Linked DNA regions of Bombyx mori. The protein of the gene in region 1 purifies or fractionates together with the protein of each later gene. This does not show direct contact. Links are inferred from orthologs where the notes say so. Each region holds a gene or a part of one and is shown on either strand. Other genes may lie near its edges. The genes, in order: roadblock domain-containing protein 3 and neutral amino acid transporter 9.

Region 1 (10,375 bases):
GCCAGGACTCATCGCTGCCGAACATCGCAGCCATGACGGTCGGAAGCGACAAGTCCGGTCCTATCTTTGCAACGAGGACGCGGCGCTGCTCCGCGAAAGCGGGGCAGTACGCGAGCGTGTGCTCCGCCGTGTCCTCGTTGCAGCCACTGCAATGGTGGCACTTCGGCGTCGGCTCCCTCCGGGTGACGAGGTGCAGGTAGCGACCGAAACAGCCGTGTCCCGTGAGCACCAGCGTCGCTCGGAAGGTGAGACGTCCTCGGTCGCGATTCACCCAGTCCGAGAGGACCGGGCGGATCGCCTCGACGGTCCGTCGCCCGTAGGTGGGGTCCGCCAGGCGGCGAGACCACGCCTCGAGCACGGCACGCCGTGATTGGAGCTTCCACGCTCGAACTTCCGCCGCACCGGGACGCGGCTCCCCCCTGGAGCGGAGATCACATCGCCACGCGTAATCCGCAGCGAGCGCCTCCGCTTCCAGGTCCCAGGGAAGAGGCCTTTTGCCTACCTTAACCAGTAAAATTCAGTTAAAAATTCTAAGTGAATTTAGCTGTTTATAATTATTAACTTGAATTACTTTTACTTTAGTTTTAACAAATATGAGAGTGAAGTTTTCACTTTAGAAATAAACTCACCCAGTTCAAGAGGTACAGAGCTCTATATGAACCTAAAGCAAACAGATAATGAGAGGTAATGCTTTCGGCCTCTCTTGTTTTTGAAACCAGGAACAGTTGAGGTAGAATAGCGACAGATTCCAAATAAATGGAAAAAGTCCACAATACCTAAAACAATGCATATCCTCAAAACATGTACATATACAAATTACTAACAATTAAAAAATATTATTTTAACATTTATCAAAGCCCAGTTTTTACAATTTATTTTATTTATAGTGCTTCTGAGAAAAATGGATAATATCACTTAAAACACAGAACATTACCTCCAAAACAGTAAACTCATGGTTTATCAATAAAGCCAAGATAAAGGTGGGGATCAGTAGAAATTCAATCCTGAATGTGTCATGGTTGTGATCATAGGTGGCCTTAAACTTGACATACATCAAATAAATAGTTGCATAGGAGGTAAAGATGAACACCAACTTCATGACAGTGTTATACGGGGACACATGAGTTGTAAGTAGATCCAAATAACGTGTCGTGTATACCACTGAAAACAGAATCTGAGACTTTCCTGATATCCCTGAAACATAATTTAAGTATTTATTAGAGTTAAATAAATATTTGAATGACACGCCGGGAGAATTCTTTGCATGTAATTTACCTGCACATGATCTTGATTTCCAAATCTTTAATAACAATATTATTATAGCTAACAGGTGGGATAGATCACCAAGCAAACGGAATATATTCATGTTTCTATTATTTGTTCGTTATACAATTAATTATAAGATCGCCGCGTATGCCTCTCATTCAAGCCAAAATGACGTGGCCATTTGACATGACAAACGACGTATTTGATGTCAATAACATAATGAGGAATGTTCGCTTATAAAATTAAATGTAATCTATGTTTCATTAATTTGAATATTTTCTTATATGATTGAAGAATTACTGGTGGCCCGGAGGCCTTCCCAGTTTCTCCAGGACAGGTGGGCAAGCAAAGGCTCAGCCAAGAGGAGTGGAATCTGCTAACAGCTGCCCGGGTGACTCCGAAGGAGACCTAACAACCAGAGAGCAGTTGCTTCGAGAATGAATCTACTACCGGATCGAAATCGCGACCCACTGAGGAGATCCGGTGAGAAACTCAGCGGGCTGATGCATGGGTTAGGTTGGTTTTTTTTTCCCTACCTAAGCTGGTAGCCTTGAGAGGCTATTCCAGCGTAACCTTAACTAGTAGGTGAGCTCGCGGGGCTCAAACCTGACGAAGTTGCTAACACGAACCCTAGCAAGAGTCGTGCTTCGCAGAATCTACCACCGGATTGGAAACGCGACCCACTGAGAAGATCCGGCGAGAAACTCAGTGGGCTGAGTCTGAGGGTTAATTTACTCGTCGAGCCCTTCGTCGCAAGCGACGGGTTCGATGAGAACGGTGACCGGTGCTTGAAGTACCTAGAAGCACCATTAGTGGATCAGGAGGATCCGAGATGACGTGTTTTGGGCGAAGTCGACTGCTTTCCATTCTTTCCGCAGGATCGGGAATGTAGTTACCGGCGGCCACGATGAGAGGGTTCTCGTATCGTGCCGCTTTATCGAAGTGGGTAGGAATTTGAGGATGTCTATGACGTATGTGCGGGCCACGTGAGCGAACACCACACTTGCATAAGTCATGACGAACCGCAAGCAAGGGCGGATCCAGTTTTGGCGCCAGGAGGGGGCACATAGTCAAATTTAGATGCGTTCGTTCCCAAACGTTTACCATTATACAAAGTTATTATATTATATTAAATTAATTAAATATTGAAGGTATGTAGTTACATAAAATCTGTATGGTGACAAAATATATAAATAAAATCATTATATTCAATTAGTATTCCACCTAAGTCCTGGACCCAGCTCAGGGGGTGGTCATGACCCCCATGACCCTCCCCCTGGATCCGCCATTGACCGCAAGTTTGTAAAGTGTCAATTTATTCCGAAGGGACATTTTATTCCGCTTACAAATCATGGGATAGAGTTTACCGAGAATAAATGCGGCACGGTTGCGGACTGATTTTGTAGGCGGAATGTCATGGATGACACTTAAGTACTTGATCTTCCTGGCTCCCTGTGAGATTCCTTCTCCTTCATTACATTTCATTTCATCCCAGTTGATTAATGTCTCAAATTAATCATCTTCATTTCATTTCACTCCGTAATATAATTTTTCATAAAAAATAAGAACACAAATTATTAAAATAAGACATCACTTAAAGGTCTTAGCTACCAGGTCATAAAATCCCACATTAGAAAAACATGTGCTCAGCAAATAGGTTATATTTATAAAATAATTAACGTGCTCTGATAACGTACATAATATTCACAATTCAGAATAATTCACATATTATAATAGCATCCACTATGCTCAGACGCAAATAGTTTTGTGCATTGTTTCATTAAAAAACGTGTTTGAAAGAATACTTCTAATTCGTAGTCTTGTGTTTGAAACAACAAAAATCTAAATATTTAGTGCCAGTCTGTTCCTATTATTGTACAAAAATATTTAAAAAATGGTTAGGCATAATAATCAACTTCCGAACAACCTAACGCAGTTGCAAAATCTTATAAAACGTGATCCAGAATCTTACAAAGAAGAGTTTCATCAACAACTTGCACATTTTGAGACCACTTTAGAAATATTCAACTTGAACCCCACACAATATAGTAAAAAACTCGATGAGCAAGCTATGTTCTTAGCTCAAGTTGCACAGTGTTATTTTAATGAAATGAAAACTTTTCCACAAAAAATTGTAGATGTTTTAAAAACACATAACACAACATTACATAATGAAATGCGTTTGGCATTATGCAAGTGCTTAATTTTACTTCGAAATAAAAACTTTATTACGCCATTTGATTTGCTAGAATTGTTTTTTACACTTTTAAAATGCCAAGATAAATATTTGAGGGATTTTTTGAAAACTCATATTATAACAGACATCAAAAACATGAACATGAAAAATAAAGATATGAAACTGAATTCAACATTGCAGAACTTTATTTTTAGCATGTTACAAGATTCAAACACAAGAGCTGCTAAACTCTCTATTGACATACTTGTTGAATTATATCACAAAAATATTTGGAATGATCAAAAAACTGTCAACATTATTGCTGATATTGGATGCTTTTCCAAATTCACCAAAGTTCTTGTAGCATCATTAAAATTTTTCCTGGGTAGAGATGAGGAAGAAAAAGAACAAAATTCAGATAGTGATGACGAAATTGATCCAAGAGATACAATGATTTCTAATAAATTTAATAAGAAAACAAGGAAAAGGGAAAAAATGGTGGAGAAAGTAAAAAAGATTGCAAAAAAGATGAAGAAAAAGAAGCAAAAAGCTCCTGCATTCAATTTTTCAGCATTACATCTGATCAACAACCCGCAAGGTCTTGCAGAGAAATTATTCAAACAGATGGAGGCTTCAAATGATAGATTTGAGGTAAAGTTAATGACCTTAGATGTTGTGTCAAGATTGATCGGTCTACACAATCTTTTCCTTTTCAATTTCTACCCATTTATAGCTAGATTACTTTTGCCTCATCAAAGAGAAGTTACTCGAATTTTGCAATTTGCTGCACAAGCTTCCCATGAGTTGGTACCATATGAAGTTATTGAGCCAGTAATGCGTGCCATTGCAAATAACTTTATAACTGAACGAAATTCAACTGATGTAATGGCAGTGGGATTAAATGCTGTGCGTGAAATATGCACAAGGTGTCCCCTTGCTATTGGAGAAGATTTACTAAGAGATTTAGTTCAATATAAAAGTTACAAAGAAAAATCTGTGATGATGGCTGCTAGATCCTTAATTCAATTATACAGACAATCAATGCCAGAACTTCTACATAAAAAAGACAGAGGTAGACCTACAGAAGCCTCAATCGAACTGAAAACAAAGAAATATGGTGAACTAGAAACAAAGGATTATATTCCTGGTTCTGAAGTCCTGTTGGAAAAAGAGAAAGAGAAAAATAATGATAAAAAGAAAAGTGAAAAAAATAAAAAGCAAAAGAATGATTCTGACAGTGAAGAATGGGTTGACGTTGCGTCATCTGCTTCAGAAATTGAAATCTCAGACAGTGAAGAAAGTGACATAGACGAAAATGGTGAAGCTGAACAATGTGATGTAGACGATACTGATAACATGTTTGACAGACCTGAAGATACTGTACAAAAAAATGAAGAAAGAAAAATATTAAAAGCAAAACGTAAACTGGACAATGAAGAAAAAGTAAAATGTGCACGTGAAATTGCTATGGAGACAATATTTACGGATGAAGATTTTAAAAGAATTGAAGCTGCACAAATTAAAAAGAATATTAGTGGCGTCAAAAGAAAATCAAATACTAACATTGAAGAAGAGGAGGCAGAATCTGGAGAATTGGTTCAACTTGGTGCTATTGAAAATATTTATAAAAAGAAAAAACATGATAAGAATGCAAGGTTGGAGAGTGTAATGAAAGGACGAGAAGATAGGCAAAAATATGGATACAAAGATCGCAGGAAAAATGCAAACTGCTCTAAAACAAATAGGGAAAAAAGGAAAACTAAAAACTATCAAATGGTAAAACACAAAGCAAAAGGCAAAATCAAGAGATCATTCAAAGAAAAGCAAATTGCATTTAGAAACTACCTAATTAAACAGAAGAAAATGAAATAAGTCCTTATTTAATTTTATGTTTTCAAATATATATTATTTCTATCTTCACTTGTAGTTTTACTTTCATTTCTGGAAAATAAAAATGATAAATAACATTGTGTGAAACACGTTTCCCGATGATGGTCCTAGGGTGAAGAGTGAATCGAGGCTGCGCCGCCCGCTACCGTAACAACTCTAGCGCTCTGGCACCATGAGGATAGGATGACACTTCAGCGGCTACACTCCGCGTTGCCGTCGTCGCTGTCATCACCGGACGCACTGTAGATGGGCAACCCGGTCGGCGGTGTATCGCGTTCCCACCCAGCAGGCTGGCGCAGGCCCACCCGGGCGGCCTGATGAGCCATCGTACCATGGACACAGACACCTCGAATCAAGTTCGGCCCCTGCCCCAAAACAATGCCTTACGTTGCCCAACGTCGTGGTTAAAATATTAATGGTCACTGTTTGGTGGTCTAATCAATAATTCATCACAGCAAACCAAATGGCACTAGCTTTGACCCGAATGTGTACCCGATTAACTAGACAAGATGGAAAAGCCTGCGAATGCCAGCCTTGGTTACTGGCTCCTCTCTGCTGTAGTATAGGTGGAAGACAAGGTGTCAAGGTGTGTGGCGCATTTACGTTGTAGATGTCTATGGGTTCCAGTAACTACTTAACACCAGGTGCGCTGTGAGCTCGTCCACACATCTAGGCAATAAAAAAAAAAAACAACACTTTGTACGACACATTATACAGTTTCTAAGCTCCAAGAGCTAAGGATGAAAGTTTTGCATAATGCAACATGTTCACCAGACCTTGTGCTGACAGACTTTTACTTTTTCCAAAGTTTGGACAACTTAAAATTTAATACCCGAGAAGCCGTTTAAAATGCCTTTAAAGAGTTTGATAGCACCCATACCCAAGTTCTTCAGTAAATGCATTGAAAAATTGGTAGAGATGCATCAATATCATGCATATTTTTATTTATAGAAATAAAAAAAATATTTATAAAAATATTGCTTTCATTTTCTGTATGCTTAATGGCAATTTCACAGGTAAATTACCTATTATTTATTTGGTATTTATGACTTTATAAGTATTATTATATTTTATAAGTATATATTAAGAATATTTTAATATTTAACGGCCGTCTGGTGTAGTGGTAAGTGACATGGTCACTACACAAGGGGGTCGCGGGTTCGAATCCCGCCAAGGGAAGATATTTGTATGATAAATATAAATGTCTTTTCCAGGGTTATGGATGTGTATTAAGTATATGTATGTGTATAATAAAAATCTTACATTTATTTCCGTTATCTGGTACCTGTAACACAAGTTCTTTACGAACTTATCACGGGACCAGTTAACGTGGCGTGATAGTTAGTAAATATTTATTTATTTATTTATTTATAAGCTAATGATCAGACGAGACTGCTTGTAACAAGGGAATATTTGTACTGGAATTCCTGGTAAGAAACAATTAACAAATTTCGATTTTTTATATATAAACCATCTATCTATCCTAGGTTACAATGATACAATGTGCATATGAGGAGCAACTGTATGATTTACATAAAGGATACTCCTGGCTATGCTCAGCTCTATGCTGTCACTATTAAACATTCAATACAAACTTAAAGAAGAATAGATTTATACTGGGTCATCATTAATTGTGATACTACAAAATATTCTGATTAAAGTTTATAAAATATTAATGACTAAATGTACATCAACTTATAGGGGTTTTAGCATTAACCATTTAGTTGAACTTTACTTTTTCTATTTTGTTCCACTATCAAATTGACAAAGAAGCCATGCAAACTGACATATGGACATGTTAATTAGATTTACAGTAGTAACAATGTCTGACATTAAAATGAAAAGACATTTTTACAGTACATTAATTTTTCCAATATTAATATATTGTATATATTATCTACCCATGCAGGTTCCACCATACTGACAGTTATTATGAAAATCTATTAATTTTGAATGTTTTATTTTATTTCTAAGCTTTTTTTTAATGTGAAAGTTTATTGTGAACCTAGATATTTAATAATATGTTTATACCTGTCCCAGAAAATACAGCATAGTTGCATAGCACACGTATATGAGGCATCTTAACTATTATTATTCAAATGAATCCATTAAGCTACTATCTCAGTAAATCCTTTTATTATCAAACATGGCATACAAATCAGGAATCAAATTTGCAATTATCATGTTTTATATAATAGCTATAAAATTTAAAGATTCAAATAACTGAATAAAGTATTTTAGTAACCAAGTAAAGTATTTTAGTGACTTCTCATATTATTTTGCTCATAATTATTTAAAATTACATATTATGAACTTGCAACTTGCTTCAAAGGACCTTCTAGATACTGAGCAATAGCATTGATTTTTTCTTTCAGAATGCCAAAACCAACAGCCTCATTCGCATAAAGACACAGTAATAAATTGGCAACTTGTGTGATTGCAATTTTCCCATTTAAACAATCTACTAGTATTAAATGTAGTCCATCTTCTTTAAAAACATTTCTGCCGTGTTTTTCATAAGCTGACCAGACATTACTAGCGATTGCAGCAGTGACTCTAGCATCCTTATCATTGTAACCAGAATAAGCTAGAAGTGCACCTTGATGATTCAACAACCTAAAATCAAGAAGCACCTGTAATTTTGATGTTTAGTGTCTAATAAAATATGTAACCAAACTAAATGTTTTCATTACAAAGTGTTTTCTACTCCTCCTGTATTAGCTTGACTTAAAACTTCTGTTAATGCTTTCGGTTTTAGCATTTTGAAGGCTTGGTGCTGTTGGATTTACATGAAAATGGCTAAGTACGAAGTTAAACTTGAATCGTTTTCAAGTGTTGATTTGTTATTATTTTTTTTTTTTTTTTTTTTTTTTTTTTATTGCCTTTGTAGGCAGACGGGCATACGGCCCACCTGATGGTGAGTGGTTACCGTCGCCCATGGACTTCAGCAATGCCAGGGGCAGAGCCAAGCCGCTGCCTACCGCTTAATACTCTCCACAAGCCTCGTTTGAAGAAGGACATGTCATAGCGCTCGGGAAACACCGAGGAGGGGAGCTCATTCCATAGCCGGATGGTACGTGGCAAAAAAGATCTCTGGAAACGCACTGTGGATGACCGCAGTGGCTCCAGGTAGTATGGATGAACTCTACTCCGGTGGCGGGCGGTGCGATGGTAAAAACGAGATGTTGGTATCATCTCGAACAATTCCTCAGAGCACTCCCCATGGAACATACGGTATAAAATACAGAGGGAACCGAAGTCCCTCCGCAGACCCAGAGGCTCCAAACGATCCGAGAGAATGGGATTATCGACAATCCGAACGGCCCTCCTCTGTATGGAGTCAAATGGAACTTAATTTTCGACGTCAACGATCTTAAATTTTTAGGATAATTTCTATTTTCCACTTTTACGTAGGATTTGACAACTATCAAAATACCGTCGCCGTCAAATATATTAAGAGTATAATCTATGGTCGCCGTCCGTGTCTCAATGTGTGTATTATCTATGCATCCGTGACAATCCGTGTAATCCACTGAACTTGAACTTTTTGGCGGGAACGCGAGGAGTGAAGTTGTGTGATTTGTTTTATTTTGTCTATTTAGTGTTTCTTCGGGTTTAAATATTTATTATAATTAATTAAGCAAATTACCACCCTTAAGTTGGCCCCTCTTATTGGATATCTTTATTTTTATCGCTCAGATTAGTTAGTTTTTATCAATTATCGTTTGTTCAACGACTATTGGTAATTGTTCGATCATAAAAACAATTAAATTCCCAATTATTAATTATTTTATATCTAATAAGCAAACCATCACCTCACGCCTACATTGCGCATGCGCCGGTTTTGTCAGTCAGCTGGCAATGGCCCTATTTACTAGCGTTTTGTTAACAAGTGCGTTTTAAATTAGATATACTCTATAGAGTATATCTAATTTATTGCCCTTGTAGGCAGACGAGCATACGGCCCACCTGATGGTGAGTGGTTACCGTCGCCCATGGACTTCAGCAATGCCAGGGGCAGAGCCAAGCCGCTGCCTACCGTTTAATACTCTCCACAAGCCTCGTTTGAAGAAGGACATAATATTAAGGGATCATATCTCTTATAAGGTTTGGCACTCTTTAATACGTACACGCGAGGCATATCTAAAAATAGAAAACAATACGTAACTGATAATATAAATATTTACCAAATAATAAAACAACACATTGATAAGTTTGAATAAAAGTTCTAGACAAAAACATCATGAATAAACCAGATTTTTACCAACAAATTTAAAAAATATTGTTTTAACTACATAGACAACCCTACAAACCTGTACCTATTTGTACTTAGGTCGTTTCCGTTTCTCTTATTCTCATCCCAATTGACCCCTATTTCGTTGTTATTTGTACCTAAGACGTCCCCAATATCCCCAAAAACAACAGATTTTTACATGTATTTTTATTTTATCAAATACATTAAATCCAATAATAACTGAGACTTACCTTTAATATATATGATGGTTCAAACACTAAATAACGTTTATAAATCACAGTCGTCTTCTATTATAATCAAATAAATAAAAGAGAGCAAAGTTTCTAGCACTGAAATAATTACCACCACAGAAAGTTAATTTGAAACGCGATTTTTTATAAGTTAGCAGCTATTATCATGCATATTCAGAGTTGTTTTGTGAACTTTCAACATTCTACTATTAAACTACAAAAAATGGAAGATTTTGCAATGAATATAAAACTAATATTGAGCGTCGAAAGAGTTTCCTGTTTTTTTCCCAATTCGCCTCTCAATCCCTAATCGCCCCATTTTACGGTACTTAATTTCAATAGTAGTTTGATGTCACTTCCGTTGCATACCTACGTGACGTTCTGTAAAAATTTTACCTCCATGCGCCTAAAGAAGTTTCACTTCAAAAATTATTTCAAATGGGACAGCCGCTTAGGAGGAGTTCAGTGGCTTAAATACGTACAGTAGAATTATTTATAATAAATATTTGAGCATAATTTTAAGACTTCCAGAGAATTGAGAAAATTGACATTATGATT
Region 2 (10,076 bases), on another chromosome or scaffold:
TCTCGTCGAACCCGTCGCTTGCGACGAAGGGCTCGACGAGTAAATTAACTCTCAGACACAGCCCACTGAATTTCTCGCCGGAACTTCTCAGTGGGTCGCGTTTCCGATCCGGTGGTAGATTCTGCGAAGCACGGCTCTTGCTAGGGTTCGTGTTAGCAACGTCATCAGGTTTGAGCCCCGTGAGCTCACCTACTAGTTAGGGTTACGCTGGAATAGCCTCTCAGGGCTACCAGCTTAGGTAGGAAAAAAAAAAAGCACTACTTAGTAAATAATACATTAACTGAAGTCATTTAACAATCAATGATAAAATGGATTTAAGTATGTAGACTAATATTAGATAGTTATAAAAGCGAAAGTTTTATATGAATCTGAGTTGGCTTCGTAAAATTTCACAGAAAGTTAGTTTTTGTCCTATTTTAATGCTGTACACATATTATTAAGCTATAGGTACAACAAATAAATGTGACAACGTGTTCTATAATTCGTATTTTTACCTACAAACGGATCTGCTAATTGACCGGATGCTTATCTCGGGAAAATGAAGTGTTTTATTCTTTATGAATTACAAAAAAAGGCCTGGGTGAAACCGCTGAGCACGTTTTTTGAATAATAAATTGGCCTAACTTAATGTATCATCATATTTGTGCTTGTTCAATAAGTTGAGCAAAAATTTTAACAGTCTTAATGTAGTGTTATCGAGCAACACTTCCGGCCTCTCATAAATTATTTACGAACTTAGGAAATACATAGAACTTATTATTGTCTTATACTTAATATAATTATTAGTTTCATAATCAAGTAAATAGTTCATTCATATTTCTTTATACTTAAATATTTTATTGGCGCCTTCCGCTTGACAGCTTCCGGCGCAATAAACCTTAATGTTATTTATGTTACATAATTCGATATTATTAAATAATAATTGTACGTAAATAATCAGCAGAATAATTAAGATGAACAATGTTTAATATTACCTACTAAGTTTATATTAAAATAGGTCAAGATGATTGTATAAATACCGGCGGTTAGCATATCTCTGTTGCATTCGTGTACTAAAGAGAATATATTAATTCGTGTGGACGTAAAGTGTCTCAATTGTCGCCGCCACCCTGAGGATCCGTTTATAGTATCCGTATTTATGTTCTTTCCAGTACATTTTTAATAAACGATGCTCTATGCTATTACCTAATAATTTATTTCGACACATGTTTGCCTGGAAGAGATAGCTCGAAGCGATAAGGATATTAAACATTATTTAAGCCTTTACTTGTCCATGCCTTGTAGTTTTTCAATAGAATTTTATTACTGTGTCCTTCACTCTCTTTTTGATAGACATAGAGTTATGTACATTCTGTTTTAGTTTTTGCATTGTTAGTCAAATTTAAATACAACTGCAAGAGACTAATGTGTAGTGTTGTTACTAATGTGTAGTGTTAGTACCTTATAGGTTATATTAACTTTCGAAGGCTTCGCTGATTTTATGTAATAATTGAAGCAAAATATTTTTATTTTTTTTATTGCTTAGATGGGTGGACGAGCTCACAGCCCACCTGGTGTAAAGTGGTTACTGGAGCCCATGGACATCTACAACGTAAATGCGCCACCCACCTTGAGATATAAGTTCGAAGATCTCAGTATAGTTAAAACGGCTGCCCCACCCTTCAAACTGAAACGCATTACTGCTTCACGGCAGAAATAGGCAGGGTGGTGGTACCTACCCGCGCGGACTCACAAGAGGTCCTACCACCAGTAAATCAAAACATCGCAATGAATTTTAGTTCTGTGGCAGTCCGTCATAGACGTTCTAATGCAAGGACAATTAGGTAATATTTCTCTAATATATTAAGTGTATAATCTATGGTAATATTTGCGGTTAAGGCATCTTCTGATTAATATATTTCGTTTGATTTTGAGGTCATTTCAAATATAAGACTAAATATTCATTCAAAATTCCTAATTGGCTTTTAAATCTATTGATTCTCTTCCCAGAATATGTTGAATTTAATCTATAAATTAAAACTTGTAATTAGTAAAATTTAGAGAAAATAAAGTTAATTTGTCTCATTTAAATTCAAGTTCATAAGGTCATTCGAAACGAGGCATAAAAATGACAGGCTGACGTCGATAATGTGTCAAGATAACGCCGTTGAGATGTGAACCCGTTGCTTATTTATCTATGAATAATATTTTTTGAAAAATTCAGTTTGTGCGTTGAAATTTATTTCCACTCAAACATGTGAAGTATTAATGTCAGGTTAGGCTATCAAAGGTTATCGATTTACAAGTTTTGTTGCTTTAGGTCTATTATTGATAGAAGCTTTAGGTATAAGACTTGAATTTAATTCGAATTCAATCAAAATAATTTTCATGGTATGTTTTACGTCATTTTTGCATCTAGAACAAAATATTTTTCAAATAACTTCCGGTTTATATGCTTTGTTTCATTTTTAGCCTTTTGATATTACCTATAGGACCAAGGTACACTTAACCACTTTGAGTTCCGAGAACGATAAAAGCAGTAAGGGTTAATTATTAATCTGTGTTTTTTACTTATAAAGCTTAGAGCAGTGTCTCCCAACCTTTTTTGTGCCATGCCCCACTGTAACATTACTAAAAATTTTATGCCCCCATAATTTTTAACATAAAAAATTAATTCGTTCACTTAAAAACATAAATGATAGGTTTTATTAAGGAATCACTATAAAATTGTTATCAAAACACAGTAAGTAATATTTCAAAACATAATAAAAAACTGAAATTCAGATTCAAAATAATTTTAATACAGATTTTCTGTATTAATTTAATTCGATTGCGCCCCTTATTTATGAAATTGCCCCCTTATGGGGCGTGGGCTCCACGTTGGCAAACACTGGCCTACAGTATTTTGAAATACGTCATTATTCAGACATTTTAAAACATCTGGTGCATGTATCTCTTTATTTATTTTCTTTTTTACTGTATGGTAGTTGGCTAAATGCATGGCCTCTACTGTCAGTGTCCAATTCACAAATATCTTTAATTACTACATAAATACTTTAAAGGAAATATGGAGCGAAAAGAAAAGAAATATTTTTTTTTGTAATCCTTTGACATAAATTTGATTAAAACAAGATAAAATAAAATGATATAGCATCTCGGTAAAATGGTATTGGGAATTTACTGAGACTTTCATTGACTTTTTGAATGAACCCGAGAATCCCGTCCAGCAGCTTTATTTTATTTTCCCACACTTTCACGTATGCTAAATATTTTAAAAGGCGCAGACCGCAGGTGTATTTACCACAGCCTATTTAAGACGTATCATACATATTCAACTTTAGTACCACTCCAGAGAATGCATTTTAAAAACATTTTCACCGGTAGTTCTTTCTGCTTGGAACATGTACCTTTAGCGTGCATAGAAAGAAAAACGGCATTTTAATGATCAGTAAAATAAAATTTACTACAAATTCTCAGAAGTAAATCCGCTGGCGATCACTAGCGAGCTCTCATTGTTTTATAGCATTTATCTTAGTGTCTTGCGATTACAGTCAACCTTACTTGGCGACAGCGGATCGCCTCGGTTAGTTTAATAAGTTTAATTATTTGATTTGTATATTCTTTCATAGATTATTCGGGAGTGCCTGCTCTGACTATTCTGACTGTGAGTACTGTGATGAGAGAAGACGACAGATTAAAAAAAAGTAAGTTAAAGTACCTAGATTTTAAACTCAAAATGACAAAATATACGCTAATAGTTTGCGTGATTTTGGTGTAATAGAGATAAAAGGCTTTATAACTTGTGTCCAGTGCCGGTAATAAATAACAAAATAAAAATTTTTGAAAAATCTCAACATGATCAGGCATATTTATCTACATTTTTCGAAAACTTTTATCGTTGTACGTACTTCTTTAGTTAAAAAATGGGCCAATATTGTTCAATATTTCTAATAACCATGCAAAATTATTTAAAAAGTTAATCGAATCTTCTCCTTTTTGCGTCATTTATGATGTTCAAATGACTCTCTCAAGTGCGGTTTTGCGCAGCGCATTGGACGCTTCCCTCATATTTATTTTTATAACATACAAAAATATGAATAAAAACTGATTGACTTTTATTTTTTATCTCAGTTTTATTTAGCCCTTCCATTACTAGTTTTTATTACTATTACATTACTATTGCGAGGCCTTTAAGGGCTTAATTGGACGTTACCTATTTAAAAGGAATTGTTTGCCTAATTGACAGGTATTCACCAAGTGACAGCTACTGTAGTGCAATGAGTCGTTTGGAAACGACCCCTTTGCTTGGAGTACTGGCAACAAGACCGGCCTACAAATCCTTGGGAGACAGCACGGATACACTGGTCAGTAATTAAAAAAAAAAAGCTGAAATACATTCAATTTTTTTTATGGAGGGTAGAGGTAAGGAGAACCATCTCAGTATATTAAAAAGTGTTCACTGAAGGGCAGCAAATTAAGATGGCGCCATAGTAGCAAGTGGAAAGATTTTAAAAACAGCGCCACAAGCTGTTACACTTCTGGTATATTCCGATTTGCAATGCGAGCACTGTAAAGTGTGACGTCAAATTAGTATACTGCCAAACCGTTCCTTTATAGTACAGTATACTGTCATCGACGTTGTCATGGAGGTGTTTTCATTTCAGCAAAAAAAATCTTGTTTAAATTTACTTATATTTGAAAATAGAATATTCAAGTTATTGTCAGTTTAATTAATCGCTAAAAGAAAGTATATTTTTAGTAAAAGAACATATTGTTTTTCAAGCAATTTAATCTATAATAACTTAATAACCGTATTATTGAAATGAGGTTATGCACGGTAAAAGTGCTGAAGTGAAGATTTATGAAATCATGTATCATTCCTCCGTTCCATTCATCATCATGTATAATCAATCATTCCTTAAGTTACTACTATATATATATATATATATACTGTCAGTCCTTAACGTAGGCAACGAATAGCAGTGAGAGCACTGAACAGTGCTCGGAGTGTAAATCGGAACACAATCGGAACGTTACTGATGGTAGGACCTCTTGTGAGTCCGCGCGGGTAGGTACCACCGCCCTGCCTGTTTCTGCCGTGAAGCAGTAATGCGTTTCGGTTTGAAGGGTGGGGCAGCCGTTGCAACTATACTTGAGACCTTAGAAATTATATCTCAAGGTGGGTGGTGCATTTACGTCGTAGATGTCTACGGGCTCCAGTAACCACTTAATACCAGGTGGGCTGTGAGCTCGTCCACCCATCAAGCAATAAAAAAAAAAACATAGCCTTCACTGCAATCCAGCACACTTCACTCAGTTGAAAACTTCTATATTCATACTATTTCCCCTGGCTACGCTAGCGCTAATTCGGTGAGTTTTCGAATTATAATTTGCTGTTTATTACAGATGACACTTTTTCAACTTGTCCCCTATACAAGATGGTGCTCCTTACCTCTACCCTCCATAATTTATTTGCGTTTCATCCACCAAATAAGCCATTTAAAAAGTTTACATGTATGTACATTTATTTACCAGTTTTGGAATATATCAATAAATTGTTGGAATATATAAATCGAATGACGAGCGAATTTGAACAATAACCTAACGTCACAGTTCAACAAATTAAGCTGAATAAATAATATTGTTACAAAAAACATTCTCATTATCGTCTAATTAGGTCAAGTGCGCAAATTGTAATGATTTAAACGGCTTGTCAAAACATAATCAAAAAGCATTCTCGCTTTTTTCTGCCCTTGATTTTTCTGATAACAGCGATATTTTTAATTTAAAACCAAGAAGATCACAGAGCTAATTAGCTAGGGGCTGTGATTGAGCAATATACCCAGCAATAGCGTAATATTTGAAATAAAAAATCTACTGTATATCACTACACGCGGGACATCTATCGTCTGTTTTTTGTAGTGTATTACCCGACTAAGTTTCTCGCCGGATCTCATTACGGATCCTCCCGATCCATTAACGGTGCTTTTAGGTACCACAAGCACCGGTCACCGTCCTCGCCGAACCCGTCGCTTGCGAGGAAGGGCTCCACGAGTAAATTAACCCATAGGTACAACCCACTGAGTTTCTCGCCGGATCTTCTCAGAGGGTCGCGATTTTGATCCGGTGGTAGATTCTGCGTAGCACTGCTCTTGCTAGGGCCAGTGTTAGCAATGCTCTCGGTGTTTGCCCCGTGAGCTCACCTACACGTCAAGGAGAAGCTGAAATATCATCACAAGGCTATCAGCATTGGTAGGAAAAAAGAAAAAAAAATACATCGCCCGATCTTCTCTGAGGCTCGCGATTCTGATCTGGTGGTAGATTCTGCGTAGTACTGCCCTTGCCAGGGCCAGTGTTAGCAAATTCTATAGGTTGAGCCCGTGAGCTCATCTACCCGTCCGGGCGTAGCTGAAATAGCCCCCTAGGCTATAAGCGAATAGGTAGGGAGAAAAAGCAAATATAAAACAAAAAAAGAAAAAGGCAGAGGTCCACGGCACAAGGCAAAAAGCGCATGAGCGCAGAGATCACGAACAAACAAACTAAATTTATCTGTAATCGTCAATTAACAGTCAATACGTAATATTAGGTGGCGGCATTTTGAACGTAAACCTATTTGATAACACACTGTTAATAAATAATCAAATAGAGTAAATCGACTTCGCCACAGAATATAAATAACCGTATTTTTTTACGAATTAAAAGTATAAAAAATCATTAATATAAATAAATCGCTTAATTCGAAACGTTATCATTACGTGAATTATTGGCGGCGTGTTATCGTCGACGCCAGAGCCTGTTTATTATGTCTCCAAATCTCGTGCAAGCGATCCTTGGATAGCAAAACTTTAATCTTTATAGGTTATCTAATAACGTTTTGTTATTTGCTAATAATACGGTAAGCATATATAAAAATAAACACAAAAGAACTTAGTTGTCAAAGAAAACTTATAATATATAGTATGGGACCCAAACACAGATATATTTTTTTATTGCTTAAATGTGTGGATGAGCTCACATCCCCCCTGGTGTCAAATAGCTACTGGAGCCCATAGACATCTACAACGTATTATAAATGCGCCACCCACCCCATATACAACGTAAATGCGCCACCCATCTTGCGATATAAGTTCTAAGGTCTCAGTATAGTTACAGTGCCTGTCCCACCCTTCAAACCGAAACGCATTACTGCTTCACGGCAGAAATAGGCAGGGTGGTGGTACCCACCCGCGCGGACTCACAAGAGGTCCTACCACCTACCACAGATTAGGCTTGGAGCTCCTACTCCTAGACCGCTCCGCCTATATCTCAGTGGAATTGGTGTCAACTAGGACTGAATCGAGAAACACATAAGTCACACAGGAGTCTAGACAGACACACTGGACCAGGCTAACGTCCACCTTGGGCTGCAAGCAGGGACGTCTTAAATTAGGCTGGGGCCCTTGGGCACACAAGAATTTGAGGCCCTTTTGGAAAGTAAAAAAATATATTTTTACTGAGTATGACCATTTATAGGTAATCAAATACAGTATGATATAAAATGTCATTAATGATATTAGAATGCTACTGGTTTTTTTGTTACGATCACGATAACGGAAGCCGTTATCGTGATCGCTAGATGGTGTGCTAAGTAAATTAGGTAGGATGCGTTCGGAAATATTATTAATTAGTACAGTAGAAATAGGCGTAGCCATCAATATAATGGCGTAGTACATGCCTTGAAAATACCTTCTGATAAGATTACTGATTTGTGAAAAAAGTGTAATGTGCCCAACAAAAATGTTTAGAGAATAAATGCGTGAGAGAAATTGTCGGTCCTTCGGGGCCCCCTGAGAATGGGGGCCCTGGGCACGGGCCCCGTGTGCCCTTATGGTAAATAATAATAATAATAATAATAAAACATTTATTTCAGAAAAAATCCATAAAATAATAATAATACAATAGTCAGCACACAAACAGTTCAACAATACAAATAGAAAATGAACAATATACTAATTCAATTAATTAAATATACAAAGGAAATGAATTAGAAACACATAATTATATCAATACAGTAGTAACCACTCTATGTCAATATTAGCTATCATTATGTCAATCAGTCAATTAATTTGGAGAAAAAATAAAATAAAAAAGAAAATCATACACATTTCATAATGAAGAGTAAAATAATAATAAGGATATGTCAGTCTTGACATATAATAATAATACCTTATAAGACGGTATTGGCTGCAAGACCTAATATAATGATGCCATACGAAGGTTTTTATATTATTTTTCTTATGACAGGGTCCCGGAGAGGTTTCCTCAGATGCCGTATTATCTACTTACAAGAAAAATTTCGAAAAAACTGTCAAAAATGAAAATAAGAAGCAAAGCTCTTTAGTTACAATGTAAGTAACAAAACAAATTTGTTGACACGGATCCGCCTTACGTATTTACACTACGAGAAATTAGGTTTTTTCTCACAGGAAATTCCAAGTTGAGGAGTGAATATTAATAAATAAAATGCAGACTTTTAAATTAATAAGGGAAGCGACGAGGCTAACTCGTAAAATGACGATAATATGTCCAAATATACAAACATTATCTCTTTTTGATCAATTAACATCTCGCTAAGACTTATCAAATCAAACATGCATACTTATAATTTGACTGAAATATTTTTATAGTTATACTCCACTACTCTGTATAATAGCTGTTATAAAATTACTATTATTTAATACTTTAATCTAGGCATCTCGAACTATAAATTATTGATAACTTGAGGATAAAGTTTGCAATTAATAATTTCCTTGCACAAACAAAGTATAAATAAATGCCTTTTGTAAATTTGATTAAATAATAGACTCAACAAACAAAATATTTGCAAGATCCGATTTGACGACCAAGCTGACCGAGTTTCTCGCCGAATCTTCTCAGTGGATCGCGTTTAGATCGTCGCGTGGTAAATTCTGCAAAGTACTGCTCTTGCTAGGGCCAGTGTTAGCAACACTCCGGTTTGAGCCCCGTGAGCTTATCTACTAGTTGAGGTTACGCTGAAATGGTCTCTAGATGACTATCAGCTTAGGTAGGGAAAAAAACTTAATTTTGTTTCAATAACATCACTTTTGTAAAATCAAAGGTGTAAAAGTGTATTGAGTTTTTTTTTCTTTCACGCAGATATCGATTGTGTATAGTGAATTTTTCTATGAGATCGAAATAATATTCATAGAAAATACTTTTTTTTTTCCTACTCCCTAATCTGATAGCCTTGAGAGGCTATTTCAGCGTAACCTTAACTAGTAGGTGAGCTCACGGGGCTCAAACCTGATGTCGAAAATACATGACTTACTAATGAATATTCAAAGATTCGGTTTTGTGATACGGCGTGTGGGACATAGACGTTTTGTCCCCGGAATAATGTGTGGGCACTATACGGCATTTCCTTCGGTTTCAGCGACTTGTATACATAATTAAAACGTTTACGGTTTAAGCTCGCGCTTGTTATTAGGTACTTTGGTCAGCATTATATTCGAAGGTGACGTATGCCTAACACCTTAGTCGTCTGTGACAACGAAAAAAGTAAAATATTCGAAGAGCCTGCAGTAATTAAATGAGAAAAATAATCGCGAGATACAAATAAACACAAAGGTTATTTTAAATACTGTCACCCTTTTTTTAATATCAAAACAAAATAAAACCCTGTTCTACTCCGATCGAATCAAAGTATCTCTGTCGTCTCACAATAATTAACAAACTTGTAGATTCTTCCAAAGCTTAACCCAGTGGTCGGCAAACTTATCAGCCAAAGAGCCAAATTTGCAAATTAAAACGACTTAAAATAAATGAGAGCCAAATCTGTTTGTAAATGTAGTAAGCATTTATTATTGCAAATCATAAAATAAGTGCTTTATTGTATACTGATTCGATTAATATATATATAATAATCGACATCAGTCTGGGGTGCTGATATTAAATGAACGTACATACTATTAACAGGCTTTTTCGTCCAAAGCCGGATAATATTAGAGGCCGGGCAAGTCCGTAGGATATTTGTGCCAGAGCCACACTCAAGAGTTCAAAATTTGAACTTCAAATACCCGCACTTTGCCGACCTCTGG

The links.
Region 2: the proteins of roadblock domain-containing protein 3 (region 1) and neutral amino acid transporter 9 purify together in Homo sapiens (co-immunoprecipitation; 5 studies listed by BioGRID and IntAct, with this or other methods). This does not show direct contact. The link is inferred for Bombyx mori from reciprocal best matches to the Homo sapiens genes LAMTOR2 and SLC38A9.

The regions. Positions count from the first base shown.
Region 1 is NC_085123.1:7,136,282-7,146,656, forward strand, and holds roadblock domain-containing protein 3, read right to left. Parts: upstream 8,765-10,375; 5' UTR 8,683-8,764; exon of another isoform or gene 8,682-8,682; intron 8,182-8,681; 5' UTR 8,094-8,181; coding exon 8,026-8,093; intron 7,949-8,025; coding exon 7,639-7,948; 3' UTR 6,930-7,638; downstream 1-6,929. Other genes in the region: ERD2 (KDEL endoplasmic reticulum protein retention receptor 2), read right to left, coding at 630-776, 935-1,194, 1,276-1,366; protein SDA1 homolog, read left to right, coding at 3,161-5,314. UniProt on the Homo sapiens protein: As part of the Ragulator complex it is involved in amino acid sensing and activation of mTORC1, a signaling complex promoting cell growth in response to growth factors, energy levels, and amino acids.
Region 2 is NC_085109.1:1,887,143-1,897,218, reverse strand, and holds part of neutral amino acid transporter 9, read left to right. Parts: intron 1-3,608; coding exon 3,609-3,683; intron 3,684-4,225; coding exon 4,226-4,343; intron 4,344-8,262; coding exon 8,263-8,366; intron 8,367-10,076.